Linked DNA regions of Arabidopsis thaliana. The protein of the gene in region 1 interacts with the protein of each later gene in a pairwise test. Each region holds a gene or a part of one and is shown in the gene's direction. Other genes may lie near its edges.

Region 1 (7,016 bases):
CTCCATGATTTTTAACAGGCCGAAATTATATCATCGGTTGATCAACTGATAGCTGAAGCTGACATTCAGGTAATTCCCGGAGTCAGAACTTATATCTTACTTTCTTACATATGTATAAGCCAAAGTACTGATGTTTGGTTCTCTTGTGTATCCGAAGAAAGTGATATTTATGGACACAACCGAGGGAGTCTCATCTGTTATCCGTCCGTATTGGTCAGAAGCTACAGGAGACCGTGCTAATGTTGTTCAAGCTCAATCAGACATGCTAGAAATCGTCCCACCCGGAACCTCCAAAGGGAATGGTGTAAAAATGCTACTCAATCATTTGGGCGTTTCACCGGATGAGGTAATAATCTAGCATCTTTTGACGGCGTTGTAAAGAAACTCAAGTAGGCATAAGTATAGAAGTCAAACAAAAAATAAGATAGTTGATGAAGCAACCCGGATTTTCTTATCAGATAATGGCGATTGGAGATGGAGAAAATGACATAGAGATGCTGCAACTGGCCTCGTTGGGAGTTGCTCTGAGCAACGGTGCAGAAAAAACAAAGGCGGTGGCTGATGTGATTGGTGTGAGCAACGACCAAGATGGTGTTGCTGATGCCATCTACCGCTACGCATTCTGAGACTCCACCACCATATTTAAGTACAAGATACACCAAATTAAATTTTTGAGGTTAAGTAGGCATTATTCTTCTTCTTTGTCTTACAGATAAAAGACAAACATTGGTCATTCTTGTCTCATTCACCCACCTTTTGAAGGAAAATGATTGATTGCAGAGTGCGTCTCTTGTTGTTTTGTTCATGTTCGGTTAATCTTTCATTCGTTTGCCTTTGCACCTTTGCATCTTACAACATAAAAAATGTTCCGGATCTCTTGTGAACAAATCCATCTCATTTGGTTACCTGCAGTAACATCAGTTAACGTTAACCAATCAATTGGTGAATAAGTTACCGATGAACAAAAGCTGTTGTAAGTTTGAAACCATTCCGAACAATTTTTATTTAAAAAGTGATGTAGGATTCGAAAATAATTGGAGTAAAGTTACACGAATCTTGTGGCTATATAAACTTCGTAGAAAAATGTAGTACAAATACTTTTGGAACACAGCAATTACATATATAGAACTATGAAATGGTCAGACTTTTTGCAGTAAGTGGTGCAAAGTGCCAAGAATGCAATCTTAAATCTTTTCCTAGCTTCATCGCTTCATCCTCTGTAAAGGCCTGATGGGTCTGCGTTTTGCACAATCCACGGGTGTTCAAGAAGCTTGTGCAAGGCCAAACGTTGCGTAGACTCCTTAACCAACATCTGTTTGATCAGAAAGTGTGAAAATCAGAATTCACTCTTCAAATGCACAAACACTTAGAGAGATTTACGAGGAATGCGAGTAGAAACCTGGCTAATCAGGTCCTTTGCAGATGATGACACAATGGGTTTGGGAGGGAACTTGAGATCCACTTGAACAATCCTGTATCATTTGTCGAACAAAACCCTTCTTTAATGTACATTCCACTGACCAAACATCATATACTAATCCCATTCTACGCTTAATGAACATGTTACCTTTTGTATGTCTCTGAATGCTCCCTGGCCTCAAAAGGAGGAACACCATAAAGAAATTCGTAGCAGAGAATTCCTAGACTCCATATATCGACACTCGCATCATGTTCAACGCTTTCCACTGTGAATCCAAAAGCAGAAAAGTCAATTAGCTGGTTGCCGAAGAAAGTAATTTAGAATCACACAAGAGAGAGAGAGCTTTCTCTTACCCATCTCAGGTGGAAGGTAATCCAAAGTGCCACACATAGTCCTTCTACGGTTGAATGTGTGTACTGACCATCCAAAATCTGCAATCTTGAGCTCACCCTGAAAACATATATCCATGAATACATAAACACATAAGCTAACTGCAATCACATGGCGTTGATGGAGAAAGATAACCAGATTCAATTTGTTACCTGAGCACCAATCAACAGATTTTCAGGTTTTATATCTCTGTGAATTACATGCTTTCCATGGCAATAGATGAGGGCTCTAGCCAATGACGCAACATACTGCCACAATAAACGTAAGGGTATGACTACACAGATTCACATTAACATGCTAGAATAAGTTCAATTATCACTAGGACTTACAGTTGCTGCTCGACGTTCGCTGAAGTACTTGCACTTCTGAAGCTCTTTATAAAGCTCACCCCTTACAGCATACTCCAAAATCAAATAAACTCTTTTCTGCAACAACGGTATCCCAAAAACTATGTTAACCTCACAGAGCCAAACATTGTATGTCAACAAGAAGTTCTTTTACAAGCACAGATAACACAAAACCTGATCATAGAAGTAACCGTAGAGCCGCAGAATATTGGGATGCCGAAGATGAGATTGAATCTCTACTTCCCTTCGTAACTGGTGTTCAACTTGAGATTGTTGAAGCTGAGCCTTAAAAAGAACCTTTAAAGCCACAATGTGATCGCTCTGTTTGCAAAGACACATAGAAGACAGCTTGGTTAAAAAAGACATCAAATTAATTCTGCTTGTTTAACATAATTGTGAAGAAACACTAACCCGTTTCTCTCTTGCTAGATAAACATGGCCAAACTTTCCTCTACCAAGTGGCTTTCCGATATCGAAATCGCTTGTAGTCCATCTCTTTTGTGCAGCCTCTGAAGCCGCCTGATACAACATTATCACAAAGATTGAAATCCAATCAACTCTCAGATACACTTAATCATAAACGACAAACAATCATTGATACTTTAAAACTTGAAGATAAAAGGATAAAATCAACAGCTCCTTAACACTAATCCACGGATTTGTCAATTAATCTAGGGTCCTCGCTGTAAACGAATAAATCCACAATCATATCATGAAATTTCTCAAAATCATACCAACAAGTCTTTCTCAAATTAAACAGAGAACATTGAAACAAGATTCTTTCTGGCGCAAAGAAAATCAAGCAACCAAATCGATAATCCCAGATCACATTCCATTAGAACAGACCAAACGCAGAGAAAAAACGCAAACCAACAAGGAAGTAAAACCCTAAATTGAAACAAATTCGACAAAAGAACCAAATGAAATTGGAATTTGTGAAACCAAGAACAAGTTATTTTCTTACAATTTGCTGCGTCTCTGTAGAAATCCCCATGGAAGAGATCGTTGATGAGCCAAGATAGCGAGAGAAAGAGAAGAAAGAAAGAGAGAAGAGAGAGTAATTTTCACAAAGGGAACAGATCCAAATTGAGAAATTTAAAAAGGGGAAAAAACGTAAACCACCAGCAAAGCAGCAACGGTCGAATCCAGATGCTGCCACGTGTTGATACATCTGCATCGAGGTTTTTATTTTCAAATAATTTGTCTCCCGAGATGATACAGTCGCTACAGGCCCAGATATTATTAAGCCCACGGTATTCCAACTTCATAATCACTAGGATAATATACAGTCACTACAAGCCCAGATAATAGCCCAATAAGCTTCAAGATCGTTTGACGATGAGATTTTAATTCGGAACTAAGTAACCACGTGTCAGTACCTCGTCAAAGTAGCTCCATGCAGAACTGACACGCCCGCGTGACACTCTTCTCCATTGCCTAACACGCCTCGTCGTTCGACACATGTCTCGTTTAAGTTTAGCCTCTCCTTCATACTAGTCTATTTTCATTCTTCATAATAATCACAAATGGTAAGCTTATTAAAGCTACAAAAACAACATAGAACATTAAATCCATACTCTCTTAGAAAAAGAAAAAAAGAAATGGCGGATCATCAACAACATCAGCAACAACAACAACCAATAATGAGGAGTCTCCATGAATCATCACCATCGACTCGGCAGATAGTGAGATTCGTAACGGCAGCTACGATCGGCCTATCACTCCTCGTGCTCTCAGGACTAACACTAACCGGAACGGTGATCGGTTTGATCGTAGCGACGCCGTTGATGGTTCTGTTCAGCCCGGTGTTGGTACCGGCAGTGATAACGATAGGGCTTTTGACGATGGGATTCCTATTCTCCGGTGGTTGTGGGGTGGCAGCAGCTACGGCGTTAACGTGGATTTATAAGTACGTTACCGGAAAACACCCGATGGGAGCGGATAAGGTGGATTACGCGAGGATGAGGATAGCGGAGAAAGCCAAAGAGTTGGGACATTATACGCACTCGCAGCCACAACAAACACACCAAACCACAACAACTACTCATTAGAGTTTAATAATTATATGGATCTATATGTTGTATTAAGTTTTATGATTATCCTACGTATGTTTTTTTAATACTGTTCTTACCTTTTTGAAAAGATCTATCTAAAATTTTATTTTCTATTTTCCATACAATTTTTTGTGTGTTTAATTGCTGATCGGTATTTTCTGTTTTATGATTGTGAAATAGCTAGTGTAAGGAAAGATGATAACGAATTAAGTAAATTAATAAATGCCAATTACTTGGTCACCGTCTGGCTTCTAGAATTATATGGTGGCTTTCTTGGTATATGTAAATGTAGTTTTGAGTGTGGTCCGTTTGATTTGAAATAATATTGTTGTTTTTATGTTCAAAAAGAAAATTGCAAGGTTTGTGAATTTTGTGTATCAATACCAAGGCTTGAACCACTTTATCTATACTCGCTAAATAAATTTCGAAGGCTGCGCTAAATGGCTCGTGTCATTTACGTTGTCTTCATGAACGTATTGTAGTTAGTGTGATTGTAAAAATATTTCTTTGTTTAATCATTCCTCAAAAATTGTATTCGGCCTTTGAGAGATGCGGTGAGGTCGTATGCATGTTTTCCCAAATTTCGAATACTTGCAAACTGTTCTATGAATGTGGTTTTTAGGTACTCATGAAATAATTGAAAACTTTACTTGTCTATATGTTCGTAAACCATTGGCATTGAATTGCATGGCATGGCTTACTATGCGCGCACCAACAAAATGCACATGCATGCTTCACGAACGTATAAAGAAGCTGAGGGTGGACAACATTCACTGCTTGTAGTGGGCAATGCAGTCTTGTAGAGCAGTTGTACTTTCAAACGAGGTTCTTTGTCAACGTCTGATTGGTTTTCTAGAATAATTGAAGGAGTACTTTTGTCCTTATCCTCGCAATGGACTGAGTAAGTTTCCTCCGCGGTTCCCTACTGGCCATGAGCTATGAATTTTTCAAGTGGTGGGTGCCAGGTGCCGGGTGGGTGCGGCGTTAGGATTATTCCTAAAGTTGAGGATCGATATACGGTTAAGTTTTTTTGTTATGGAGTGGTGTTTCGTAGTTTGTCATTGCATCAGTTTGATAATCTCTTTCTTCTAGCACCAGATTGTTTAGATAAATGTTAGGATATATGTGGAAGCAAAGGAATGATGTGGTTCACAACCAAGTCTCGATCCCAATATCAACTATCTTCAAGCTCATCGACAAAGAGATTCAGAACGTAAGCACCGCAAGACGTAAATGCAAGCGTTATTGCAACCTAATGCAAACTCTGGTTAATTTTAACTCCCACTATGTAATGTGACTTCTACATCATTTGTCTCTTTGTTTAATTTTTTGGCCAAAGATTCAAATCCATTGATATTCAGAGACAATAGTCTATATGGATTTATTAGATATAGTCTATATGGACTTATTAGATGATATTAACATTCATAGAGAAAACAACAAATTAGGATACGTTTTCTTTCTAATGAGAAAGTGAATGTACGAATGGTTGTTGGGAGGCTATTGTGTCTCGTAGATATTTTAAATAATTTGAATGTTTACTAATATAGAATGTGTATTCAATTATAACTATTTAAATTATTTTATTGTTGGTTTAGACGCATTCTTAAACTTTCACATCATTCTCTCGTGACTATTATAATAGTTATCGTGCTCGATCAATCATCTCGTGACTATTATAATTTTATCAATAGTTTATGCATAAGAGAACTGATAACGATCATACTTCTTTTTGTCATTATGATAGCTTATGATTAATCATTGTTTATCCATACTTGACGCTTGTAAGTGAAACATATGTTTAAATTTTCAGGCTTAATTTAATAGCCACGAACCAAAAATTATCTTATAATAAAAGTTTGGTGCGATTTAAGAAGATTTGTCCCCAAAGCCCTATCTGAAAGAGGTCAAATTGGATTATTAAATTCAACATATTAATCAATTTGATATTTGTTTAATGGTCTGATTAGTGACAATTATAAGTCTAATATTGCGAATCTTTTGCAGTGAGTATTCCACGTGATATAGATAAGTTTCCCTTAATGGATAACCTTTGCATCAAACAATTAGAAAACAAATGGAAGAGTATCAATCAAGTAGATCTCGAAGCAGTGGACCCTAACACGATACTGGAACATGGACCAAACCTTAAAATATCGTCCAAATTGCTTATTTTCTGGAAGGTTACAAGTGCACAACACTCTAATAATATATGCCCCGCATAACAATTTTTAAAACTATTTCATCTTAGACCTCGGATATTTTGAAGGAAGCACATTTTCTTGAAAATCACTAGGTGACTTGTGTTTCTTTCTTTGGAGCATGTCAATTTACTCCCATCAGCTGGAGAGCCAAAAGTTAAAATTAATGTTCGAAATTTATTTCATAAAAGCTACGTACGTTGCATCCTTCCATGATCTAGAAAAAATGGGGGACAATAACCAAATTTATTCACTCTTGTCAGGTCATGGGGAGTAGTCTACGACCTTGAAAGTCACGTGACAAGTAATATATACTGTACCGTCCAAATATTTTCTTACTGTAATGTCTTATGTTTCATATCGCTAGACCCTTAATATTAGTGTGGACTAATTCATATAATTGCAAATAAAATAGTATGATTCTACGATTCTTCAAAATGATCTAATAGTTACAGTCTGGTCAAAATGATCTAAATCTTTATAAACAAATAACAGCTACGGAATAATTAACACAATTTTTGGTGATAAACTTTGAGTTATGATAGAAATTTTTTTTTTTTCAATTTTTAATGTGTATCTTAATTTCTTCAATTAATGTATCCCT
Region 2 (8,378 bases), on another chromosome or scaffold:
TGCTGCTTTGTCACCATCTCTCAGATGTGCCCTGATAAGCGTATTATATGTACCACTATCTGGAAGAGGCCCTTCTTCTTTCATTTCTCTAAACAAGGCATCTGCTTCTTCCTTTAAACCTTTCCTACAAAATCCTGACATCATTGTTGTGTAGGTTACAACATTAGGCTTCACTCCTTTAAGGCTGAGGCTACAAAATAGATCCCACCCATCTTCCACCTTCCCTGCCTTGCACATCCCTTCAATCATAATATTATATGTGTAAATATCAGGTTCCATTTTACTCCTTTGCAGATACTCAAACACCACCAATGCTGTCTCTACCTTCCCATTATTACAAAGCCCATCTAATAAAATGCTGTATGTCATAATATCGGGAAGCACACCATCAGAAACCATCTGTTTGAAAACTATTTGGGCATTATCACACTCTCTAGCTTGAAAAAATCCATGGATAAGAGTGGTGTAAGTGACTGTGTTGCCAACCAATCCTCTTTGAGACATCTCGCGGAAGAGTTCCATACCTTCGTCTACTCTCTTAGCCTTACAAAATCCCTTTATAAGAGTATTGTAAGTCACTACGTTTGGGAAACAGTCCTTGCTAATCATCAACTCAAACATGTGCTTGGCCTCGTCTAAACGATCGTGCATACAAAACCCATTGATCAGTGAACTATAAGTGAAAATATCAGGATCTATAGACCTTTTGATCATCTCGTCGTACAATTTCTCAGCCTCTACAAGCTTCCCCTCCTTCACAAATGCATCAATCAATGCGCTGAAAGTGACTACATTTGGATTGATTTTCCTCTCAATCATATCACTGAGTAGTCGAGAAGCATCACTCCATCTTCCGTAATTACAAAGGCATCTTATGAGGGAGTTGTAGGTAACAACATTTGGTCTAATTCCTTTGTTATCCATTTCAGTGAACAGATTGAGTGCATCATTCACGTTTTTGTAGTTGCAAAGAGCATCAATGATAGTGTTGTAGATCACAACACCAGGCTCTATTTTCCCTTGTTCCATCTTCTTTAACAAACTCAAAGCCAAATCAATATCACCTCTCTTACATAATCCATTTACTACAATACCATAAGTAACCAGATCTGGTTGACAACCTTTCACAACCATCCGGTCAACTAAAGCCACTGCTTCTGAAGCTCTGTTGTGGCGAAAAAGTCCATGAATTAGAGTGTTGAATGTGAATGAATCGGGCTGATATCCCATTTCCACCATCTGACCAACAAGAGATACGGCATCTGAAATCCTATTCCCGTGACAGAAACCATTGAGCAGAGAGTTAAGCGTGACAATATCGGGCTCATAGCCGAGTTTCATCATCTTGGCAAGAACAGCTAAAGCAAGAGAGAGCTGAGAGCGTCGGCAGAAACAGTTGATGAGAATACTGTATGTGTAAAGATTATGTGAAATTCCCAAATTTTGCATCTGCTCGCCGAGAGAGATGACAAGATCGAACTTGTTCATCTTAGCAATGGCACTCAACAGTTTACTGAACTCAACAATCGAAGGGAAAGGACGAGACTTGACCATGTCACCGAACAGATTAACCGCATCATCTAGCTTCAAATCATTTAGCCTATTTATCGATATTTTTCTGTAATCATATCTAACACCAGAGAAATCTCGTACCCAGAAACTGCAATGGCTAAAGGAAGGAGGAGCAGTTCCACATTTACCTTTTCCGAGAAGACTCCGATGAACAAATCTGTTTCCCGTCGATGAAATCGCAAACAATCTCCTCATCTTCAGCTGATTGGGGTTTCTTCCAAAATCACTGATTCAGAATCGTAAACTCTCTGTAAACTTGTATAAACCCTAAATGATGAACCTTTTGCAGACAGAGAGAGTAAAGGTTTGAACTTTTGGTTCTACCAAACCAAACAGAGAGAGAGACTCACATAGGCTGAGAGAGTGAGAGTGATATTCATCCAGTTTCGCACCACCGTTGGATCATTTGACCGGTCAAGATTTCATCTTATCATTTTTATCACCGGTTTGGTTTATAATCACATAATGTATTTTTTTTTGGTTTAGTTCTAAATTGAAAGGCCAGCATTAGCAAATAAATATGAAAAAAACAAAGAAGATTATCAAGTTTTGCTATTTTGGTTCCATATTTGTCTAACTATATTTCCTTCATTTTTTTTTTTATTGCTGAGATGTCCCTTTCTAATTAAGGTGAAACCGCGTGGACCTTACCAATTTATATCTTGGATTGTAAAGATCTATATCTGTTTGGTTCCACTTGTATATGATACAATGATACAATACAAGTTTGGTCATTATCATTTTTTCTAATCATATGTCAACAAAACCAAAGTATGCATTCATTTTGCAAAATATACACATCTATTTGTATCACCTCCCAAACATTTCTCCCATTATACGGACTTGGACAAGTATTCATACCTCTGCAAAAGTCTTATTGATAAATGAATGTGAAAGTACATACAATTGGTTTAGAACATTAAACACGAGTTTGGTTTGGACACATGGCTTTCATATACTCCTTAGTGATAAATTATGGTTAATTATAACCATCTTTGAAGTTTATTCTAATATTTTATTTATTAATTTCATTGATATGGTTTCAAACGTCAAGGAATATTAAACCTTTTACGAAAAAATTTCGGGTGGATCATATAATATCTTCCCTTCAATCCTCAAAGTTCTCGAACTCTACCAATACCTACAAGGCTACAAAAATTTATACACCATTGAAATATGCTGCAACGAAGTCCATTTAAGGCCTGATGATAAATTCCTTGGAGATCGACAATAATATCCAAGCGATTGTTAGTGAGATTATAGAGTTAGTCTTTGTTGGATTCAATAGTTTGTTCCACAATGTAAAAGTCGACTATTCTAAAGAAGCCCTTGGCAACTTATTAAATCTTATAAATAGTTAAATATCGAGACCGTAGAACCTTTTGCTATATATAGTTTTTCGTCAGAAAAAAAAAGTCTTCATGCTAGAGAAAAAAAAGTTTAACTTATAAATACCATGCTATAATTAAAACAAAATAACACGTACTACAAATAGTACTAGCTTATATTTTCTCTCTTTTTTAATAATTAATTTTCTAAAAAAATACATATCTTAAGAAAATATTATTAAAATTAATTATGAATATATTATTTTTTGTGTTTTATATTTTTTTATAATTAAAAATCAATAATATTTAATTATTTATCTTGAAATTTGATATTCATCAATAATATCTAATTAATATTGCAAAAAAATCTAGAAATCCATCTTTTAAAAACACTTTTTTGTATAAAAAAAAATAAAAAAATAAAACCCTTTTTGTAAAAAATTCAATTAAGAAAAAATAAAAGGAGTATATGTTTTATCTTCTCTTTTTACTTTAACAAAATACCTTGTTTTTTTGTTGTTTTCAAGTTATATATTTTGTAATCTTGTCGCAGGTCTGAGTTGTTTTTTGCACTCAGAAAAGAAACTTGTACTAAAACCTAGGAGAGGAGGAGCTGGCACCACCGCCTAACTCGCCATTGACACAACACCAAAAACTCTTCTTTACTTTTTGTTATTCTACACACATCGATAAAGATTAAGAACATAATTAATAGAATTCCATAAATAATTAGATGCACTAACTTTTCAACATCAATTCAACGGTTTAAATTCGTGAAAAAGCGTTTTTATTTTATTTTAATGGTTACAACTTTGTAGTTTTTACCCTAAATCTCTCTCTGATTACTGATACTCTGTCTCAATCTCTTCTTTCTTCTAATCCTTTATTTCTTGTAAGCTACTTCTCCTGAATTTCGTATTTGATCCGTTTAATCCAAGTTTCGATTTTATATAACAACCACATAGACAGAGAGAGAGAGAGAGAGAAACAGAGTAATGGCGAACAGAGATGTGGAGAGAGTAGGGAAGAAAAACAGAGGAGCTAATAACAATTATTTCTACGAGGAGTCTTCTGGTGAAACTCATTGGACTTCATGGCTGATTCCGGCGATTGTAGTGGCAAATCTCGCTGTCTTTATCGCTGTTATGTTCGTTAATGATTGTCCTAAGAAAATCACCGGACCTAACAAAGAGTGTGTTGCTAGATTCCTCGGAAGATTCTCGTTTCAACCACTTAAAGAGAATCCTCTCTTTGGTCCTTCTTCTTCAACGTAAGTATTACTTTAAAGTTGGAGATTCATGTTTCATCTTCTGGGTATCTCCAAAGTCTCAAACTTTTTGGGAGTCCAATTCGCAATTGAATTTGATCACTATTGTCTGTTCTTATGGAAATTGAGCTCAAAGTTTTCATTTTTCTGCAGTAATTAAGATTACCCAATTAGTGCCTTACTGATAACGTCAATGAATTTGTAGTTGAAGCTCGAGATTCTAGAATTTGTTAATCTAAGTTACTGGCAAACAAGTTTGATCTTTTGGGTACCTAAAACGTCTCAATTTTTTTTGTTTTCAACAAACTGAAAAAGTCTCAATTTTTGTGTTTTCAACTTGGCAATTGAATTTGATCTTTATTGTCTGTTAGTGGCTTGGAACATGAGCTCAAACTTGTAGGGTTTCTCAAAGTTTTTATTTTTCTCCTGGAATTATGTATTTAGCTTGGTTTGGAATTATGATTTGTAAATTTCATTGGCAATTATTGTAGTGATGGTGTTTGTGATTGATTTGGTTTTACTCGGATATGTACTTGTATCAGATTGGAGAAAATGGGAGCATTGGAATGGAGGAAAGTAGTACATGAACATCAAGGATGGAGACTTCTCTCTTGTATGTGGCTTCACGCTGGTATCATTCATCTTCTTACAAACATGTTGAGTTTGATCTTCATTGGTATCCGCCTTGAGCAGCAATTTGGCTTCAGTAAGTCTTACCTTTACGTGTACAAGAATTATTGTTCAGTCAAGTTTTAGACTCTCTTTGTTTAATCGCCAAGTGAAACATTTGATCTTTATCGCGGGAATGTTACTGTGCAGTAAGAGTCGGGTTGATATACTTAATATCGGGTCTCGGTGGAAGCATACTTTCGTCGCTTTTCCTTCAAGAAAGTATCTCTGTTGGTGCTTCGGGTGCTCTCTTTGGACTTCTTGGAGCAATGTTATCTGAACTTCTTACCAATTGGACTATCTATGCCAACAAGGTACTTATGCCCTTTTCGCTATACGCGCCTTAACCGGAACTTAGGATTAACGGCTTCTTTTGGCAGGCGGCTGCTCTGATCACACTTCTGTTCATCATCGCAATCAACTTAGCATTAGGCATGCTTCCTCGGGTTGACAACTTTGCACACATTGGAGGGTTTTTAACCGGATTCTGCCTCGGGTTTGTCCTCCTTGTCCGACCTCAGTACGGTTGGGAAGCTTCCCGCACCAACACTTCGCGAACCAAACGAAAGTATAGCATGTACCAGTACGTGCTGTTTGTAGTTTCAGTGGTGCTACTTGTGGTTGGGCTAACGGTTGCATTAGTGATGCTTTTCAAAGGAGAGAATGGGAACAAACATTGCAAATGGTGTCATTACCTTAGCTGTTTCCCAACTTCTAAATGGACCTGCTAATCATCATCATCATCATCATAATCATATAGTAAAAGCTTTTATATGTGTTCTTGTTAACATTTAATCTCTTTGATCTCTCTAGCCTTTGATTATTTATATATGTGTACATTACCAAATTCGTCTTGTGTAAAAGGGGATAGAAATAAAAGAGTGTATTATTTTTACATTTGAACACCATATTTCTCAAACTGTCTTTAAGTACATAAATAGTAAACAATTTTATTAATGTAAAACATAAGCTGTAATTGGAAATAAATTCCTTTAATTTGGTTATAGTACACACTTTATAGTATCCATCTTAGGTCTTGTAGATTATTATTCTTCCTTTGCTTCAAATTCTTCTTTCTCTAGATCTCTTTCTTCTTGAGTTTAACATGATAGCCATTTGGAAATTGCAATCCAGGAGTTCGAAGTATATTTCCTCCACTAGTTTCTTCCCATCTGATGAAATCCAAGAAACAAAATTACAAAATCAAGAACCATTAGTTGTCTTAACTTAACAGATGAAAAAGGAGTAGTTTCAAACTGTATTTTGTGACTGAGCTATGAAGGAAAACTGCAGTTTGAAGTTTGAACTTTGCTGAAGTCAGCTCCGATACACAACCGCATTCCATCACCAAACGCCATGAAATTCCATCACCACACGCCATCAATACAATATATAATACCAAGATATGCAATCATGCATACATCAGCTTCATGCAATATATGCATAATTTTTAGGAGATTTCAGATGTCACAAGATCGAATTGAACATATATTTTCAACAGTGTGAAATACAGTTATACGGTTAGGGTCTGATTTTTGTTTTTGGTACCACGTGGGTTTTACAAGTTTTTATGATATTACAAATAAATTAATAATGCATCACACTTCATTTATTGTGAATGGGTGACTTTTAAGAAAACAATGACCAAACACCACCCAATAACCTTCCTGCACTGTGTCATTTAGGCCTTAATGGTGCAGTGGATAAGGATAAAGTACGGGACATAGACAATGCCTTTAATCATCCACCATTCACAAATGATAATACCTTGTATACATGCGATGTAACTTCAAATATAGGGATGATTGTGTGCTTTGCGGATCAAAACAAGAACTTTAAAACCTCTCGGTAAAAAGTACAAATTAATGGTTACTCTAAACGGAAAGGCACAGGAGATTTGTTATTTATATGATGTTCTCAAACAAAGAAAAGCTACTCACACAAATCACATGTTGCCAACTTTAAGCTAAAGACCCAACTCTTTTCTTTACGTGTAACAGAAAAGTGGCGCAATGACCTTCAATGGCTTAGCTCTTGACTTCTCGATGGTTTGAGTTTGATCTCTTCAGCGCCCTGTCATGGTTTAGCATTGCGCTTACGCTCTCAACCACGAAAACGATCTGTAAAGAAAAGCAGAAACCCGTATGCGGGTTTTAGTCAAGATAACCCAAAACTACAACATTCTTTGATCAATAACTGATGATCTCATCATCCTCTGCTTGATATCATCAAATTTTGTACTATATGAGTATCAACTCCCAACTACTGAATAGAATAATGAATTTTGAAATGGATCCAGGCCTATATTTTACCTGAAAGCACGCGTAGCCGATAGCGTTTCCAAAGTAGAAATTTGCATTTCCGGTTCCCTGTCATGAAAAAATCAAAGGTAGTTGTGATCATTAGAACATTTTGTTGCAACTGCTGTGAAGAGTTGGGTTATGGATTTGAGTAGAAGCTTACCCGCCATATCCAGAGATTGTGCATCACAGGGCTGAGGAGAGAGATCCCGAGATATCCACAGAAGAGGAAGAACGAGAACTTCATATCTATGTGAAACAGAAGCAGAGTTTATATGCAAAGGCTAAACAATGCTAAGAGGATGTGAAGTATTTGCTTTTACCTAATAACTCATTGACAAACAATGCCCATAAGCTCAAGTATAACGCCGAATCTCCGACCTATTGAGAGTAAATCAAATGATGAAAGCATTGTTAACATTTATGAATATAATTCCTCAAAGAAGAAAAGATAACTTCAAGTTCACAGTGAATTCAACTACTTACTGAAGGATAAGATTTAAGAATCGAGGAGATCGCTAAGTATATGAAAGCCAGGAAACATGGCCGATGTTTCAACCTTATGGCTAAGGGCAGTAACATGAACAGAATATTTACGTGTAAAACTATCAGAAAAAAGTTTCTGAAGAAGTCGAATACTTCTGCAAAGAAGTACCTGAAAACGAGATTTAAAACGAACAGTAAATAGTCTTTTCATAAAAGAAGGGATCCCTTATTCATCACCCAATGATATCACCATATTAATTTATTTTACTTACCAAAAGACTCCAATGTTTGGTGAAAGATCTTCAATACTAAGAATGAAACCATACGTCCTACAATAGGAGGCAAAGACAAACAAACATCAAATCGCCTAAACACTACGTTGCAAGTTCTTAATAAATAATTATATGATTTGGAATATAAGTTATAGATATAATATGGCTAACGGAAACTAATCCTATAGCGGTTATGAATAAGATTTCTAAGTTAGAGGCTACCTCTTGAACATCTCCTCAAGCCCACCATATTTATTCAGTGATAAGGCACATAAAATCAACACATAGAGTGACCACAGAAGTACCCAGAACAAGAAGTGTGCGACTGTTTTCCATAAGAAAGGAAGGTGCGTAGTCTGTTTCAACTTGGCTTGTTTAGAAACAGTAGAGGTTGAACTCTCCTCATTTTCTACACTTCTGGTCTGAAGGAACAATTTTATAGGAGGAGCATCCAAACCATATCCCAATAGAAAGATTATCTGTG
Region 3 (9,286 bases), on another chromosome or scaffold:
TCCCAATGGTGCTCATCGATGGCACAACTACAGAAAGAGTCCAAAGTATGCTCTTTTCTCGTTAAATTGTCTATCATTTGACTCTTTGTATCTGGCATTGCTTCCCTCTGTATATAATATGTTAGATTCTACTGCGGTTTATTCAATAGAAGCTTATAGTGGGACATGGACGAGCCTAAGGCTGTCACTTACAATTGTTTTAAGGTGCTAACTATTTTGTGGCTGATTCATGGCATCTTTTCTACAGTGAGGTCAAACTTGAAGAAGCTGCCGTGCTGCACTATACTTATCCCAGATTTTCAGATCTTACTTCAAGACGTGATCGTTGTGGCTGTAAGCCCACTAAAGTGGATGTCAAGAGATGTTTCATGCTAGAGTTTGACAGAGCTGTGAGTGGAGATTTATAGTTTTTTGCTTTATATTTCCTGCATCGTTTTCCGAAATATATAGTCACAGCTCTTGGCTATCACATGTAGGCATTTATTATTGCTTCAACAGCGAGTTCAGAGGAAATGCTGCAATGGTATTAATATAGATTTAAATATAATCACTGCTCTTCATCCCATTTTCAACTGCTGCAATCTAACCAGCTTCACTAATACAGGTACAGAGAGCATGTTGTGTGGACTGATGAAAAATTGAAGTTGAAACTCCTTAGGAAGGGAATTCTAACCCGCATTTATGCTCCCATGGTTAGTTCCACAAACTCAAACCACGCTCTTTATTTGACATGAACGATCAGTGTTTGGTTTTCCACAAGCTATCATCTCTTACAGGTTATAATCCAAGAGCTAAGAGAAGCGGGTGTTTTTAGCTCTGTGGTAATCGCAGCTCACAAGTCTCCTTCGAAGAACTCTTCAACTGCTGATTCGACATCAGGCATTACCCGAGAATCATCTCAGGAAACTGGTAAGAGGAGGGTGTTGGAATTCCATCTTGATGTTGACGGTGAATCCCAAGCATCAGCGGTACCACCACAATCGCCTCCAGGCTTGGAAGCAACCCAGATGGAACTATAATATGAAACGTGTTTACAAAGGGTGGGATTTTTTAGAATGATTTATGAACAGTTTTGAACCTGAGCTCTGGTGTACATTTAGGAAAGTTTTCGTTTAGGTTATACACACAGATGATTCTACAGGTGAAGAGGAATGTCATATAGCAGGGGTTGTATCATACTTGATGATTCTATAACTTGGAATACAAAATCATTGTCTTCCAGATCGGACTACTAGTCTTCTTTTGTGCTCCTTTATCTTCATATGTACATGATTGATCCTCAGCATTACACACTTGTGGTTTTTCTTTCCTCTCGCTCTGTTTTGCTAGGTCCTTATCAATTAGGAAGGTTCTGCAATTACGTTTCCAGAACTCCTGTCATCAAGTATCAAATTATCTCTCTACCTTCCATTCTTCAGATTTATGGTTTTCCTGAAATGTGAAGTTTGGTTTCTCAACATCTTTAGCTTCTTATGAGTCACTCAGCTGATGTCACAAACAGCTTCATGTTGACTTAAACCTTACAGAAACTTAATGTTTCAGACTGAGAACATGAGCAATAATTTAGAAGAGAGTACTTAAGTCAAATTAGTAGCAACCAGGCATTGACAAGTACTGATAAGGTTGTGGACCATAACAACCAATAAGAACAACTTAAAAGAACTTATACATGTTGGACGTATGATTTAGTAGTTACTGCATTGTTTAAACTTTTCTTGTTAAAATCTTTCTTACACTTTGATACAAAAGAAAAAGATGGTCATATTCTTAAATACTTTATAGTTTGTGCCTTTTTCATGTGATACATAACTCTGAAATCTAAAATAAATTCTTATTACATACAGAAACTATTCAAGGTGGAGACATTTAGGAAACCGTACAACACACAGAAACCAGTCCACTTAACATTTTACCAAATTAATAAGTTTAATAATATCATCTCTAATCCAAATTTTGAACCGCCATGGTTTTTGTAAGCCTTGCGCCGTCAAAGTTTAGATATCCGCCATGGTTTGGGAATGCTGAAACGCCGTAAGAGAAGTTTCACGCTCAGACTCGTACCCTTTTTGGGTATACTTTCGGATGGCTGATTCTATGGATCTTGTTTTGCGAAGACGATGAGCCAAGCCAACGCCATGGTTTGTGCGCCGCCGCCGCCATATCTGCCGTGATTTGTGAATTAAACGCTGGGACAGAAGTTTGCTACTCGTAGCCTTCTTTTTGGGTATGATATCTGAGCTTTGATTCCAACCGTCGAGACTAAAGCATCCCGTAGTCTCATTGAAGGTTTCTTCTAACTACAGCTATGCGATCAAGGTTCTGACCACAGCGAGCCTTACAAAAGTCAATGTACCTTATGTAGACAGTTGCATTCTTAGCAGTGAGAGAGGACTCACTGGGTGGCTCCATAGTTTGAATGGCTACTGACACAATCCTCAAGCCGGAAAGATCATGATCCGTGGTGGTCCTATCAGATATGGCAACAGAAAGTTCCAGATACAGACGAATCCAGTCATTGGCTCGCAGCTCTGATTCATCATCCACCACGTAAAATCGGTTTCTGTTTTCGAAAGGGTTCTCCAGCGGGAACTCAGGCAAGCTACCCATGCGGTAGAATTCTCTTTCCAACGACGTTTTAATGATTGTCCCTAAAATATACAATGATGAATGAAATACTAGTTGTTGTAATAATAATAATGATGTGTTAATGAACACGCCTACCCAAGTAAGGAGTCACATGTAGTATAATAATAATTTAATTACCTGGACGACGTCTTTCAGCAATAAAGGAGGTCAAAACAAGCCGGCCACAAGCTTCTTCATAAACGGAAGTCTGAAAAGTAAAACGCCTTCCACTAGATGGCTGCATTGCAACCAAAGTAATGTAGAAACAGCAAGCACCAGCAGCCAGAGTCCTGTTGTATCTCTTAACGTGAGAGAGCTTTAAGTTTGTCCCCTGATAAATCAAAAACGAAATTTGAATAAAAAGAAGAGCAAGAGTGGATAAAGAAAGAGAAGAAAGGAAGACAAGAGTCTTACACTTTGATTAAAAAAAAGATAGTATAGTTAGTAATTGCCTAATTAATTTCACAAAGAGAGATGATAATCAAAGAAGTTAAATAAGTCTATGGGATGCATTCTTAATAGTAATCTTGTTAACTTCTTTCTTACATTATGAGTCTTTGATTATATAAAAAAAAAAGATATTAGTAATTTGCCTAATTTCACATGAATCCCATAGACTTATTTATTTCTTTATACTTTGCTTTTTTGGGCCTTTTTGATAATTCATAAATAAGTGGTGTTGATACGATGTCGTATTGTTGTGCGTGGGCAAGTTGTAATTAAATGCTACAGGCTTTGAAGCTTCAGCGAAAAGTGGAAGAAGCAAATCCAGAGGCGGGGAACCAGAAATAGCCAACGGATCCGCCATGACTGCTCGTAAGAGAACTCCTTCAGTGTCCAATTCGGAGAAACTAGCTCTACCTGAACCTGCATCTTCCCCGACGGTTCAGAAGACCTCTGTTTCCGGAGAGGATTTCCAGCTCGCGCCGCCGAAATTGGGCGTGATTTTCGTGATCTCTTCGCTTCTGTGTTCGCTTTATCTTTACCTTCTCTGTTTCCACTACAATGTTGACAATGAGCTCAAGCGTCCGATCCTCATTAACGCTGGGCTTAGCTTGGTTGGATTCTTTGTCACACTCAAGTTGATTCCTGTAGCTGCTAGATACGTTCTGAGGCGTAATATGTTTGGTTTTGATATCAACAAAAGAGGCACTCCTCAAGGAGAAGTTAGAGTGTATGTTTTTCCTTCTTAGATTTGTCTTTGTTTAGTTCTCAGATTAGTGTTCAGCGTTTTTCTAGAAATGGATGTCTCTTAGATTTGATTTTTTGTATAGGAGGAAAACTATGAGATGTCTCATTTTCTGATTGATGTTCTATGGATGTTTACGCTTGATTTGATCTCAGGGGACTTAAAGTCTTTTGATGTGCTTATTTTCAGCAATCTTATTTCTTTGTAGGCCTGAGTCATTGGGAATTGTTGTCGGTATTGTCTTCTTGATAGTGGCGATTGTATTTCAGTTCTTTAATTTCACTGAAGATTCGGTGGTAAGTGTCCTGGTCTCAAAAGCTCAAGCTTGATCATTTATTTATTGTGAACTATGAACTTGGTAGCTCTTGGCTCATTTACTTTGAATGCAATTTATCAATCTGGCTAAATGACTCGGTGCAGTGGCTTGTGGAGTATAATGCAGCACTGGCGTCTATTTGCTTCATGATATTGCTTGGATTTGTAGATGACGTCCTTGATGTGCCTTGGAGAGTGTAGGTGCAGTTCTCATTTTGTTGGATTAAAAATTCATGATTTAGTTTTGTTTTCTTATTAACTCTTGTCAATTTGCAGGAAACTTCTCTTGCCATCTTTTGCAACCCTTCCACTGTTGATGGCTTATGCTGGACATACAACTATCGTCATACCGAAACCTTTAGTTTCTTATATTGGCTTGGAAGTGTTTGATCTAGGTACAATTCATCTTGTATATAGTGTTAAACCATCAATAGCTATTTTGAAATTCATTTCCTTAGTTGTATATTTATCGTGGCAGGACGTATATATAAGTTATATATGGCGCTACTGGCTGTCTTTTGCACAAATTCTATTAACATTCACGCTGGTTTGAATGGCCTTGAAATCGGTCAAACCGTAGTTATTGCAGCTGCTGTAAGTTCTGCTGTCAAAATGCGTCGCAATGCTTCATTTTTTTGGTCCCATTTTTCCTTCTGTTGGTTTCTCGTAAGTAAAGTTATGATAAATCTCAGTAACTTGTAGATTCTGATACACAACGTTATGCAAATCGGAGCATCTGTTGATACTGAGTATCATCAAGCTCATGCCTTCTCAATCTATCTTACTCAGCCATTGATGGCAACATCCTTGGCAATGCTTGCCTACAATTGGTAATCTTTGGATCTTTCAAGTCATTTTCTCTTAAATCAATCAGGTAAACTAGCAAAGCAGAATGCTTTCTCTAACCACGTTCATGTCCCCTCTTTGGTGATGTTAGGTACCCTTCTGCAGTTTTTGTTGGAGACACTTACACAGTCTTTGCTGGAATGACTATGGCAGTTGTTGGCATTCTCGGTCACTTCAGGTATACTTCTAACCATACCGTCCTTATTGCAATGTACTTAGATTCATCATTTACATTTAACTTATGTGTGAGCCTTCAATTAACTAACTACTTATGAAACTTTGCTTTTTGCAGTGAAACCCTGTTAATCTTTTTTCTTCCTCAAGTGTTGAACTTTTTACTGTCACTTCCGCAGGTTTGATACCTTTCTCCATCTCACACTTTCTGTTACTTTTCAATACATTTGAAAGCATCTAACTTGCTATTGTATAACTCTTCAGCTTGCTGGCATTGTCAAATGTCCACGACATCGTCTCCCCAAGTAAGCTATTTTTTGTCCATTTTTCATAAGAGGCAAAGCCAACAAGTAAACAACACATGACTCTTCCTCTCTCTTTTTTAAACCAGGTATGATCCTGCTACGGGACTGTTAACAGGAACAAAAGATGGGACACTCGTGAACGTCTACTTGAGGATTTTTGGTAGGAAAACAGAAAAGTCTCTATGTATTCATCTTCTTGTTTTCCAGGTAAACTTGTTAATGCCCATATTATCATCTCTAAATACAAGTTGGTTTATTCTGAGAGAGAGAAATCACAAGATTGGTGTTTTGTGTGTTCTATTGCAGGCTCTTGCTTGCGCATTTTGTTTCATGCTTAGGCATTTTCTAGCTGGTTGGTACAAATAAATCTCTGCAACATGAAGAAACTCTAAACCTGTTCCTCTTTTCATCTCTCTCTCTGCCTTCACAAATCATACAAACACAGAACTTGTTTTGCTTCATGTCCAACAATCTACTAGAATCATCGTTTTAGTTCACTTATATAGAGAGTTTTCATCTAAAGGCGAGTGTATCTCAACAATATAAAGCCAATGAAATGAATCAGAACAAATTTGTCTTGGAATTTAAATTTAACTACAAATGCTGATCTTATTTTGATAACTTTGATTAATAAACTAAATAATTTTTAGATTAAAGTTTTGCTAATATAGCATGCATTAAATGAAGTGTCCATTTACATATATTTTTGAATTTTAAAAATGCGCTTTTAATATTAGACAGACTACTGTCGTACTAGAATAATAAAGAATGTAATAAAAAAATAGAAGGAGAATCGGAAAAGAAACCCACTTATAGAATGCCATGTGTCAAAACATAACAAGCGAAGTATGTTTATATAGTAAGAAAACTCTTTTGCCCTAAATATCCCAAATTGTCATATGTTCTTTCCTTATGTGGCTCTCTCTTCTCTTTCTCTTTCTCTTTCCTTTTTCTCTTTCGATCAACAAAACCACATCTCTGAACTGAACCAATTTCTCTTCTCCCCCTTCCGGTTATCGGATTACCAGATCTCGTTTCCCGCGATCTAGTTTATTCTTTGAAAAAGGTAAATGTTCAATTTTTTTATTTTATTCAAAATCTCCCCTGGATTCAGGAGATGATGATTTGAAATTGACGATGATGTTTGTGTGTAAAAGTGATAGAAGCAGAAATGGGAAGGGGCAAGATCGCGATTAAGAGGATCAATAACTCTACGAGCCGTCAGGTTACGTTCTCGAAGCGAAGGAATGGATTGTTGAAGAAAGCTAAGGAGCTTGCGATTCTCTGCGATGCTGAGGTTGGTGTCATCATCTTCTCCAGCACCGGTAGGCTCTACGATTTCTCCAGCTCCAGGTACCTTTTTTCTTTTCTCTTTGGTTGACTTTTTTTTTGGGTCTTGGTCCATCTAATTGGTTGATTGATTGATGTAGCAAATTCTAAATCTCGATTTTTTTTTTTCTTTCTTAAGTCGATTTCTTGTTAATTGTTTGCAAATTCAATTGCTTTAGAGAAGGAATCGTAGATCAACTTAGTCTGATAATTTGCAGAAGAAATCACTTGGTTTGAATGATAATATGTTTTGTAAGGGGAATATGAGAGTGTGTTCTCTGTGTTGTTGGAGATGATTACGATATTTGTGTGGAACATAGATTGTGAGGGACTTGTGGTGTTTATTGAAACATACTAAATTTGGTAGAAACTTTATCAGAAGAGGAAAGGAGGGGAGAAAGTGGTTAGTGGTTGAAGAAAACTCTAAACTCTAGAGAGGATTTAGAAAGAATCGTCTCCTTTTCACTGTTCATTTACTTTATTGGCAACTAGTTGGTGGGTTTGATGTACCTAAAATGAGCTGCATTATCTTCTCTTAATATATATTGTTAGTACACAAGTGGGGGAATCATTTCTGATTTCGTTGTCATCCATAATCAAGTTTTTGTTTTTTTAATTCTTCAACTTGGTCATTTGTTAATGATATGTAGGAGTATAGTCTTTCTTTTTGGGAACATTTTGCGATTTGTTAGAAAAATATTATATCTTCAATCCTTTCTGAATTTCTACTTTAGGAGTTCATTCATTTCTTTATTTGATTGTATCTTTCGTGTTTACATAATTGTTTATTAAAAAAGGTTGAATAAAATCTGGCTCTTAGATCTGTTTCAGAGGGAGAAAGCTTCCATTGTTCTGCAGAGCTTTTGTTGTTTCTCTGTTTTTTGAACTGAGACTCTGTTTTTTTCTTTTTTTCTCTTCAATAAAGACAGCAAGATATCTATACTGTTTACTGATTAGAGTTGGCTCTATTTACATCAATTTTGTCTGGCTTCTCTCATTCTCTGCTTAAACTTCATACATTATGTTAGATTTATTGCGAATCTGTAGTTGGGGTGCTGAGAATCCTGTTCCATGTAGACAGAGATGGCTTAGGGTTAACTAAATCTATTTAAGTAAGAAAATTTGACACTGAAAGATGTAAGGATAAATGTTGCAGTGGATGTTGCTTGGGTTACATTACCTATCAACCACACTCTACAACTATGAAACTACTCTCTTTTTTGGCAGCATGAAATCGGTCATAGAGAGATACAGCGATGCCAAAGGAGAAACCAGTTCAGAAAATGATCCCGCTTCAGAAATTCAGGTACTCCTTTTTTTTGTTACTCCTCCCTATGGATTTCAACGAGTAGACAAAACAAGTAACATACTACAACAGAGAGACTGTTACTCGATTCTTGTACTAATATGTTAGCCTATTACAACTCATTAGCATTTCTCAACTTTTAATTCCTCTCAAGCTGATCCTGATATCTAATCAGAGTTGCAGACCATAAATACCACCACACATCATATGTTGAAGTAGGGTTTGCAGTTTGCTATAAAACACAAGTCATGCCACCTGAACATCAGATTGCATACATAGTGTTGCATTTTATTTTGTCAAGAATCCGTTGTAGACTAGATAACATATTTATCCGAAAACAAAATACTTGTTTACAGTTTCAAACACCTGAAAATCATTTCTACTATATTCTAGTTCTGGCAAAAGGAGGCTGCGATTCTAAAGCGTCAGCTACATAACTTGCAAGAAAACCACCGGTATGTTTTGCATCCTCTGAGTTTGTCAAACACTCTCGATAGTAGTAACAACTAGAGCAGGGAAATATGTACTAAAATGCAAAATGATAACATACGTGTAGTCCAAGGTTAGAAGATTTTGCAGAACCCAAAACTATCCTACCATTTGCATTTGCTTAGTAAGGATAGTCGATATAAAGAATAGTAAGCCAAATGGATTAAGAGTTGTATACATAAACACATCTAAACCATCCATAAGAAGGAAATAACCAAACACTTTCACACTCCCCATCGTTTTCTTGTTTTGCTTTGGTGAATTAGGAAATGTATATAGTAACTCTGGAAAAGTATGCATATTCAGAAGAGCTTGTACTTGACAGGCAAATGATGGGGGAGGAGCTCTCTGGACTAAGTGTAGAAGCTTTACAGAATTTGGAAAATCAGCTTGAATTGAGCCTTCGTGGCGTTCGAATGAAAAAGGTTTTGATGCTGTGACAAATAAGTCAAATTTTGGAACCATTTAGAAGAAGTAATGGATGTACTCTATCTACGCTCTTCTTTTGCCTTTTGCAGGATCAAATGTTAATCGAAGAAATACAAGTACTTAACCGAGAGGTGGGACTATGGTTACTGTGATATAGGTTTTAGACGTTTTCCATAGTGTTGGTAAGCACATTGCTAATTCTTTTTTTATTCGGTTGCAGGGGAATCTCGTTCACCAAGAGAATTTAGACCTCCACAAGAAAGTAAACCTAATGCACCA
Region 4 (8,273 bases), on another chromosome or scaffold:
TTTCATCTTCCTTTTGTTAAACTTTGTTTTGTATTCAAATGATTTGCAGACGGTTTAAGCTCTGTTTTAAGCTATTATCTCGGCCTACTTGCATTTCTTCACTTTCTCAGTGAAAGAATGATTAATTTTTTTCATTAGAGTGCACAATTGTTAATTAATATTTTCTTGTTATAGAAGCAAATTACAAAAAAGCTATCTGACAGATTCCAATGTGATCAGTTCAGTCCAAGCTGTGCTAGTGAAGTCATATTCTTGATTCAAGTAAGAGTTGTGGCTCGAAAACCAACCATTTGCAGATAAGCTTTCTCCGAGTGAGTGAGTTGAATGATCCAGTTACCCGCCCCCAAGTTATCAATCTTCCATGAATCTCTGTTTGCATCTCCTTCTAGTCATCTGAGCCCATCTCGCAAAGATCTCTGCTGCAGCAAACTTACCTGAGAACTTAGCTCTCTGTGCCAATTCCTCAAATATCTCCGGTTGTCCCCCTCTGTGGAAATCAGCTGCAAACTTGTTATAATCAATCAAAGGGGTTTTCATTCCTTTGTCAAGCATCTCCTCCAAGTATCTGCATGCCTCTCTCGACTTCCCTTCACTTATAAGCCCTCTGATCAAAACCGTGTAGGAGTTATCGTCAGGACAAATCCCTTTCTTGATCATCTCGTCCCAAACTGCTCTCCCCATCTCATAGTTTCTCGCCACGAAGTAAGATTTCATTATCATGTTGAACGTGTGTATCGATGGCTCAATTTCGTTCTGGATCATCTTGTTGTAGATCCTTGTGCCATGTTCCGGCATTTTCTGGTTCGCCATCAGTTTGATCAACGCATTATACGTTTTGCCATCCGGAGGGTGTCCCTTTTCTTGCATCTCCTTGAGCAGTTCGTAAACAGTATCCAGCTTCTTCTGAGTCCCAAACCCCGTGATCAGACACGTGTAAACCGCAGCATCAGGTTGCAACCCGGAATCAACCATGTCATCAAAGTACTCAATGGCAGTTTCCATGCTCGACTGTTTGCAGAAGTCCCGGATCATGATGGTATAGCTACGGACATTAGGGCAAGGTCCCTTGGATTTCATAACATGGAACAATTTGATCGCATCTGATTTTTTCATACTCCTCAACAACCCTTCAAGCATTACGTTGTGAGCTACAATGTCAGGTTTCAATCCGTGATCAATCATATCATTCCAGATTCTAGCTGCTTCTATCAAGTTCCTCACCCTGCACCAACCATTGAGTAGAACAGTGTAAGTCATCATATTAGGTGTAAACCTCTCCTTCAGCTTATCAAACAGAACCTGAGCTTCTTTTCCAAGCTTAGCCCTGCCAAGACTATCAAGCAAGCAATTAATGGTTTCAACACCAATCTTAAACTTGTACTTCTTCATCAACTCAAAGATACCAACAGCTTTCTTCCTCTCTTTCGCAGCAGCGAAAGCTTTCATCGCGATAGTGAATGTCTCCATCGTCAATAGACCTTTCGTACCCATCTCTTCGAGTACCGAAACCATCGTCTCGAACTGTCTAGTCTTTGCTAAAATACTCATCATGGAGTTATATGTTCTTGAAGCATGAGCAAATCCTTGTCTCTCTGCAGCCCAACAGAAGAACCTAAATGCAGGCTTCCTAGCATGTCGAAAACGTTCTAAAACCTCAACGATGAGATCATGTGATAAATCTAGTTTCATTTCATCAAGAACAGCTTCCATATTTCTATCTAACGCAAACAATTCATCAATCACTTTGCAGACTCTCTCTACTTCTTCCGGATTAGTACTTGATTCAACACAACTGACCCCAGTTTCTTCATCATTATCGCATTCAGATTCAACTTCTTCATCACATCCATCACTAACATTAGAACTACCACTAGAGAAACCTCTACACCCAAGACTCGCATCAAGCAGTTGTACAGAGGAGTGTGGCAATGGAATTTGACGGTAAGGATGATAAGTAGAAGAATGAATCATACGAGAGAAGAGAGCACCGGAAAATCGTACTTCCTCTTCTCCTCTCCCGCCGATTACGCGGCTTTGACTGGAAATGAATTCATCGGCATCGAATGAAGAAGAGCAAATGAGGAATCTTCTTAATGAAGTCTGAGTGGAGCTTCTTCTCCTAGAGAGATAGAGCCATGGAGCAGCAGCCATGGAAGCTCGACGGCGATTAGCAATGGCGAAGTCGGTGAAAAGCCACTGATTTACGGCGGAGAGCTCTTCACGTATTTGGGCCTTTGTTTGATTAGAAGCTTTGAGTGATAATAATTTTGACCCATTAAAGGCCCATTGATCTGGTCACATATAACCATTGGGTCCACCAGGAGCATTAAAGCTCAAACGCATAAAGAATTTTTATTTTTTAGTTGGAAGGTATCTGTATGCATCTTATCTTCGTTTTAGGGTCGTGATATTTTCTCAAGTTTTTCTTAGGGGACCAATTTATTTTTAGATTTATTTGATTCTATCTTACATTTCTCTTAGTTCACGTTGTCTTTGTATACGTGTTTATGGATATTACATAACTGAAAATCAAGATCAGTCAATCAGTGTAACATCAATCATCAATAACCCTGCGGGATGTATATAAAACTAAGGGATATATGAGGAAAATCAGATTCCAGATTAAGTTCATAAATATTGATTCACCTAAAATCTATAATAACATAGTAGTTCAGAAGCATGAAATAATTCTATAAAAAATCATGAATTATCTACATAAAAATATCGCATATTGTAGATAAGAGTCACCCCTGAAAGAAAAACGATAGTTTTCTGTATTTGGTTATCAATCAATCCTATGTGGGTTTATATCTTATCTAATGTAAAAATTACACAAAGGATAGTGTCTGCAAATATCTAAATGAAAACACTTAATTCCAAAATGAGAAATCAAGTGGGTTTTGCCTAGCTAATTGTATAAATAGTAACACAATCATAATCTCTTCTTCCATCAGGTCTTCTTCATAATATATTTCTTCTCTAATAATTGAAAGCAAAAGAAAACAGTTTTTTTTTTTAGAAAGGTAAAGAAATGGAGGAAACAAAGGAGAGAAAGATAGTAGTAGCAGTAGACGAAAGCGAAGAGAGCATGGAAGCTCTGTCATGGAGTCTTGACAATCTTTTTCCATATGGTTCCAATAATACACTCATCCTCCTCTACGTCAAGCCCCCTCTTCCCGTTTACTCTTCCCTCGATGCCGCAGGTTAGTCCTCGTTCTTTCACGATTCATATCTTTCCCTAATTATAATCTGTTCACTTTAGTTATAGATTTTTGTTTGGTCGATTTCCAGGGTTTATAGTGACAGGAGACCCGGTTGCAGCTTTGAAGAAGTATGAATACGAGCTCGTGGAATCGGTCATGGCTCGGTCTCGAACCGTGTACCAAGATTATGAGTCTGATGTAAGCTTATTTCTATCGATTTTTTATCACTTAATTTGCTGGATTATACTTGCTTAAAAAACTTGAGAAATTATGAGAAAGTGAATTTAATCAAGTAGTTATGAGTTAATCTGTTTATCATGAGCAATATTTAGTACAAAAAATATAACATATGATAAGCAAAATATGGTTGTTTTCAAAGAGAGTTGGCGAAATAAATGTAAATATAACCAAATTAATGTGCAGATTAATATAGAGAGACGAGTTGGAAGAGGAGATGCTAAGGAAGTTATATGCAACGCAGTTCAGAAACTTAGAGTTGATATGTTAGTAATGGGCACTCATGACTATGGCTTCTTCAAAAGGTAAGGTTTCAATCTCTTATAAGAAACAAAAATATTTTGGTTTAATGGTTATTTGATAATCATTTGATATATTTGATAGGGCTTTGCTAGGGAGTGTGAGCGAGTATTGCGCCAAACGAGTCAAGTGTCCTGTGGTTATCGTCAAGAAGCAAGCTCAAGATAATTAAGCTCATATGATTGCATTGTGTATATGTTTCGAAAGAACTGGTGTAACACTTGAATCAATCTTCGTATGCGATAATAAAATACATAACGGTTTAAACAAATTTAGCAGATATTTTTGCTTATATAAAACTAGCTGACAATGACATCAATCAACCAATTAAATTCAAATCTACATTCTCTACATACAATGCCAAATTAAAAACTAATGTAAACGCAAATTTCAATTTAACGTATAGAAGAATGTAATGAACCATATACCAAGTTTTGAATATTTGCAATTTTGTTGTTTGAACACTTAATTGTTGTTCGCTTCAAAGTTCAATAAAGGCCTCAAGGCCCAAAGTATATCTGTTACTCATCCAGTCGACACAGTCATACTTAAACGTCGCCGTTTCCGTGTTCGAAGCTTCGTGAAAATCTTCAATCTCGCGAGAGAGAAGAAGAAGAAGAAGAAGAAGAAGAAGCGATGTTCCTGGTGGATTGGTTCTATGGAGTTCTGGCAACTCTGGGACTATGGCAGAAAGAAGCGAAGATTCTGTTTCTAGGTCTCGACAACGCCGGCAAAACCACCTTGCTTCACATGTTAAAGGACGAGGTTCGTTTTCTTCGAGCCATATCAGTAATCGCTGTCTAGAATCTTGTTTCTTTTACTTAGCGCGAACGAATCAAAGTCTTAATCAGCGATAATCGTTTGATTTGGGTTTCAGAGACTGGTCCAGCATCAGCCGACACAGCATCCGACATCGGAAGAGCTTAGTATCGGCAAAATCAAGTTCAAAGCCTTCGATTTGGGAGGTCATCAGATTGCTCGTAGAGTCTGGAAGGACTATTACGCTAAGGTTTGATCTTCTTTCTTCTTTGGATTTTATTGTTAGGTCAATCAATTTAGCAAGTCTTTGGAAGGACTATTGCGCTCGTATAGTTGTATGTAGACTCTAAGCTGACTCTGTTATAGATTACAATCTTCCCTGTGCCCATATAAACAATAGTTAGATGATAGAGGTGAAGTGAAATCTTCAATGAAGTTTGTCATATAGCAATTCTCTTTTGAATGTTGCAGCATGAGGTCCTGTGATTACATTCTGCTGGTTATGTGTACCTAGTAAGCTCTTGCTGTGTACTACTCCTACTCTGTTCCTTAGCCACTGTGTTGCTCCGTTGGGTTATATAAGTTTGCAGATGATAGTTTGAAATGATTGAGCTATAGTAAAATCTTCAGATGATAGATATACATATACATCATATACTGTAGTTTAAAATGACATTGTGATTGGTATGTGGAGCCAGTGGAGGTTGAAAATTAGAAGATTGTATAGCTATAGACTACTCTTACTGTCAGTTTTAGAGTCATGAGGTCCCTTGTGATTTACATTCTCATAGCTGATGATTCCAGTGAATCAAGAGATTAATAGACTCCGGTGTTTCTATTAGCTACCCTCTTTGCATTCTATCTTCAAGTTTGTAACTTTATTATTGTCTCGTATTAGGTTGATGCAGTGGTATACCTAGTTGATGCATATGACAAAGAGAGGTTTGCAGAATCAAAGAAAGAGCTTGACGCTCTTCTCTCTGATGAATCCCTAGCAAATGTCCCTTTCCTCATCCTTGGAAACAAAATCGACATTCCGTACGCTGCATCAGAAGACGAGCTGCGTTATCATCTAGGCCTCACCAGTTTCACCACTGGGAAAGGTAAAGTGAATCTAGCAGGAACAAATGTTCGTCCTCTTGAGGTGTTCATGTGCAGCATTGTCAGAAAGATGGGTTACGGCGAAGGATTTAAATGGGTTTCTCAATATATCGACTAGATCAATCATATTTAAGTCTTATCTATCTATACTGTGTGATTGGTATCTGTACGTGTTATAACCTAATGTATAATTACGATTAATGTGTGTATACAACAAGATTTGACGGCTTTTAAATTATCAATTTTGTGTTTACAGACCAAAGTTGAATCCTATGAAAAGTGTGAACCCATTTGTCTGTGACTGTGTAACTGTGTGGGGCTTAAGAAATGGCTGTATCTTAGCTTTTTTATGAAAATTCGAAAGATGAACACTTTTACTTTAATAATGTAATGTAGAGAAAACCCCATGTGAATCGAGTTTGACAATTAACAATCACAATGTCCTACACTGAAAACCAATCAATTTGACACATAGATGTACCATAATGAGTGTACGTATATTGTTTTACATGTGTTATGTCTCTTTGTGAACTTATCATTATGTCTGTTTTTCTTCTTTCTAGGTATTGTGAAATGAACACAAACAGATCTATGGATAACCATGTATTTATTTTCATTAAAATATGTGAACAATAATACTCCAAAATAGTTCACAAAATAAGTAAAAAAATTTGCTTTTTAGCACCATCACAATGCGTCTTTGATCTCAGCCGCTTCCAAACGTTCAAGTCGCAGCGTAATAAGGCTAATAGATTAGATTTTGCGACTCAAGATTTTGCAGCTCAAGCATATATATGTCTACGGACTATGCAAATATGGATGTGTAAGAAAACTATTAGGTGCTCACTTTCTCTTTTTATAACTTTTTCAGAACATTTCTCCTTTGGACTGATTCTTCTCTACGTGGCCCAAAGTTAATATCAAAAGTTTTTTTTTAACGTATTATTTCTATCATTTGTTATTAATTTTTTCTCCTTTGGATTGATTCCTTGTTACAGTTTTTGCTCTTCTTTTTACTATGCTGTTTCTTTTTTATATTCGCCACTAGCTAGAGACTGGTTCTATGTCCCAGGACCCATGAAATACCAAGCACGAAAATGTGACCAAATGAATAATTTGATTTAAGTTTTTTGCTTGAATGAGAAAAGTTTTTTTTATATATAAAAAAATGTCAAAATATTAAAACTCATTCGATTGATTGCGTGGAGAAGAGAAAAATAAATTTAGAAGAAGTATTAACTTGGTTTTTGGGGTAAAGGGATGCACATGGATCCCTCATTCCCACGTGATATCTAAGCCAAGAACACGTGCCTCCCTCTGAGCTATCTGACTTTTATGTGATTGGTTTCAGTTTTTAGTTCAAAACCCAAAGCTTTTGGATCCAAAAGAGGTCTCTATCGTATGCATTTGAGCAAAACTAGATGATTGGTTTGATGCCCAACGCAATATTCTCTCTTTTTTACTCAATACTTCAAATTAAATAACGACGTTAATCATACAACTAGTATTATTAGTATTTGATAATAGATTCCTATCTTAAAACTTGCGCCAACTTTGACACTTATTTGGTTCTATATAAAACCCATGTCTCGGTGAAAGTCACCAGTCATAGACAATGCAATCATGTTGCAATGTCGAAACACCCAATAGTGAAAGTGTTATGTACAATATTTTTGGATGTCCACTTGTAGCTAGAAAGCTTAATATTTTATGATTTTTCAAATAATTTTTGGTTTCTGTTGGACTATATGCATTCCTATAACTTTGCAAGATACTATATAACTTATCAAAATTAAATTTAGAACTAAAACATACCATATGATAGAAGGGATTTGACGAAGTATACATATTGATGTGTATGTATATATGAAAATATGAAGGGTATTTACGTATAAATATGTATGTACATGTTGTGTGTATGATATATACGCCGTCATGGTGTGCCTCTTAAGATGCTAACATGTTTATAGAATGGGGACAGTTGCCTTTTAAGTAGACCCACTTTTAAACCAAATATTTAACTCAACACTAGTTAACTACAATTAACACGTAATCGTCGTCTTTGTAGAGTTTGTTAACTCAAGCCATCCTGGCATAGTTGTCTCGACCAATGGCACGGTGTGCACTATCATCAACTATTTAATGCTCGACTCTATCTTTTAATTTGTATTATACTAGCAGTTCTCATCTCTTATCTCTATTCTCAACTAGTTCAATTTCATACGAAAATTCAATCAAGAGTTCATATTTATATACAAATGAATAGAGTTTGGTTTGTAAGAATATAGAGAATCATTGATGTAAAAAAATGTTCATATAGCTTTGTAGAAATTCGTTTATTTATCATGGAAATATAGGATTTCAAGGGAAAACTGTATTTTTTACCCATTTTTTATTTATACAAGGGAGAATAGAAAATTGTAATACATAGTTAAAGATCGATATTATATTCTGAATGATTAACACCTATGTTGTAAATTGAAGCCAATACACATACATTGCCTATAAGTCCAAAAATGTGGAAGGAAGTTGTACCTATAATATAATCATTTTATGAGCTGCATTATTATTATTGCTGTTATATTCAGTTCCCAATCATAAAGGCTACCATCCCTTGCTATATAGTTTTTTTTTTTCTTTAAGAATCCTATGAAAAAAGTTGGATATTTATTT

Evidence for each region.
Region 2: the proteins of AT2G25890 (region 1) and RBL2 interact in a protein complementation assay, tested with the Arabidopsis thaliana proteins (one large-scale study listed by BioGRID).
Region 3: the proteins of AT2G25890 (region 1) and AT3G57220 interact in a protein complementation assay, tested with the Arabidopsis thaliana proteins (one large-scale study listed by BioGRID).
Region 4: the proteins of AT2G25890 (region 1) and AT3G62560 interact in a protein complementation assay, tested with the Arabidopsis thaliana proteins (one large-scale study listed by BioGRID).

What each region holds. Positions count from the first base shown.
Region 1 is NC_003071.7:11,033,677-11,040,692, forward strand, and holds AT2G25890 (Oleosin family protein), read left to right. Parts: upstream 1-3,626; 5' UTR 3,627-3,683; coding exon 3,684-4,208; 3' UTR 4,209-4,503; downstream 4,504-7,016. Other genes in the region: AT2G25870 (haloacid dehalogenase-like hydrolase family protein), read left to right, coding at 19-69, 158-346, 459-626; AUR2 (ataurora2), read right to left, coding at 1,211-1,312, 1,400-1,472, 1,568-1,685, 1,774-1,870, 1,963-2,058, 2,140-2,235, 2,332-2,478, 2,569-2,676 and 1 more.
Region 2 is NC_003070.9:23,406,243-23,414,620, reverse strand, and holds RBL2 (RHOMBOID-like 2), read left to right. Parts: upstream 1-3,481; 5' UTR 3,482-3,895; coding exon 3,896-4,170; intron 4,171-4,709; coding exon 4,710-4,873; intron 4,874-4,986; coding exon 4,987-5,150; intron 5,151-5,216; coding exon 5,217-5,567; 3' UTR 5,568-5,817; downstream 5,818-8,378. Other genes in the region: AT1G63130 (Tetratricopeptide repeat (TPR)-like superfamily protein), read right to left, coding at 1-1,767; AT1G63110 (GPI transamidase subunit PIG-U), read right to left, coding at 6,864-6,956, 7,149-7,205, 7,300-7,385, 7,460-7,517, 7,623-7,791, 7,895-7,951, 8,117-8,373. UniProt on the Arabidopsis thaliana protein: Rhomboid-type serine protease that catalyzes intramembrane proteolysis. Can cleave the Drosophila proteins Spitz and Keren. May function in pollen elongation.
Region 3 is NC_003074.8:21,171,085-21,180,370, forward strand, and holds AT3G57220 (Glycosyl transferase family 4 protein), read left to right. Parts: upstream 1-3,310; 5' UTR 3,311-3,431; coding exon 3,432-3,799; intron 3,800-4,022; coding exon 4,023-4,110; intron 4,111-4,234; coding exon 4,235-4,326; intron 4,327-4,405; coding exon 4,406-4,524; intron 4,525-4,607; coding exon 4,608-4,723; intron 4,724-4,831; coding exon 4,832-4,959; intron 4,960-5,066; coding exon 5,067-5,153; intron 5,154-5,267; coding exon 5,268-5,328; intron 5,329-5,413; coding exon 5,414-5,454; intron 5,455-5,540; coding exon 5,541-5,661; intron 5,662-5,760; coding exon 5,761-5,820; 3' UTR 5,821-6,110; downstream 6,111-9,286. Other genes in the region: AT3G57200 (glycosyltransferase-like protein), read left to right, coding at 1-45, 248-389, 477-523, 605-692, 777-1,019; AT3G57210 (uncharacterized protein), read right to left, coding at 2,278-2,648, 2,764-2,869; AGL16 (AGAMOUS-like 16), read left to right, coding at 6,626-6,807, 8,011-8,089, 8,483-8,544, 8,904-9,003, 9,097-9,138, 9,228-9,286.
Region 4 is NC_003074.8:23,133,163-23,141,435, forward strand, and holds AT3G62560 (Ras-related small GTP-binding family protein), read left to right. Parts: upstream 1-4,123; 5' UTR 4,124-4,376; coding exon 4,377-4,505; intron 4,506-4,617; coding exon 4,618-4,749; intron 4,750-5,397; coding exon 5,398-5,718; 3' UTR 5,719-5,983; downstream 5,984-8,273. Other genes in the region: AT3G62540 (Pentatricopeptide repeat (PPR) superfamily protein), read right to left, coding at 352-2,151; AT3G62550 (Adenine nucleotide alpha hydrolases-like superfamily protein), read left to right, coding at 3,032-3,203, 3,292-3,401, 3,627-3,745, 3,825-3,912.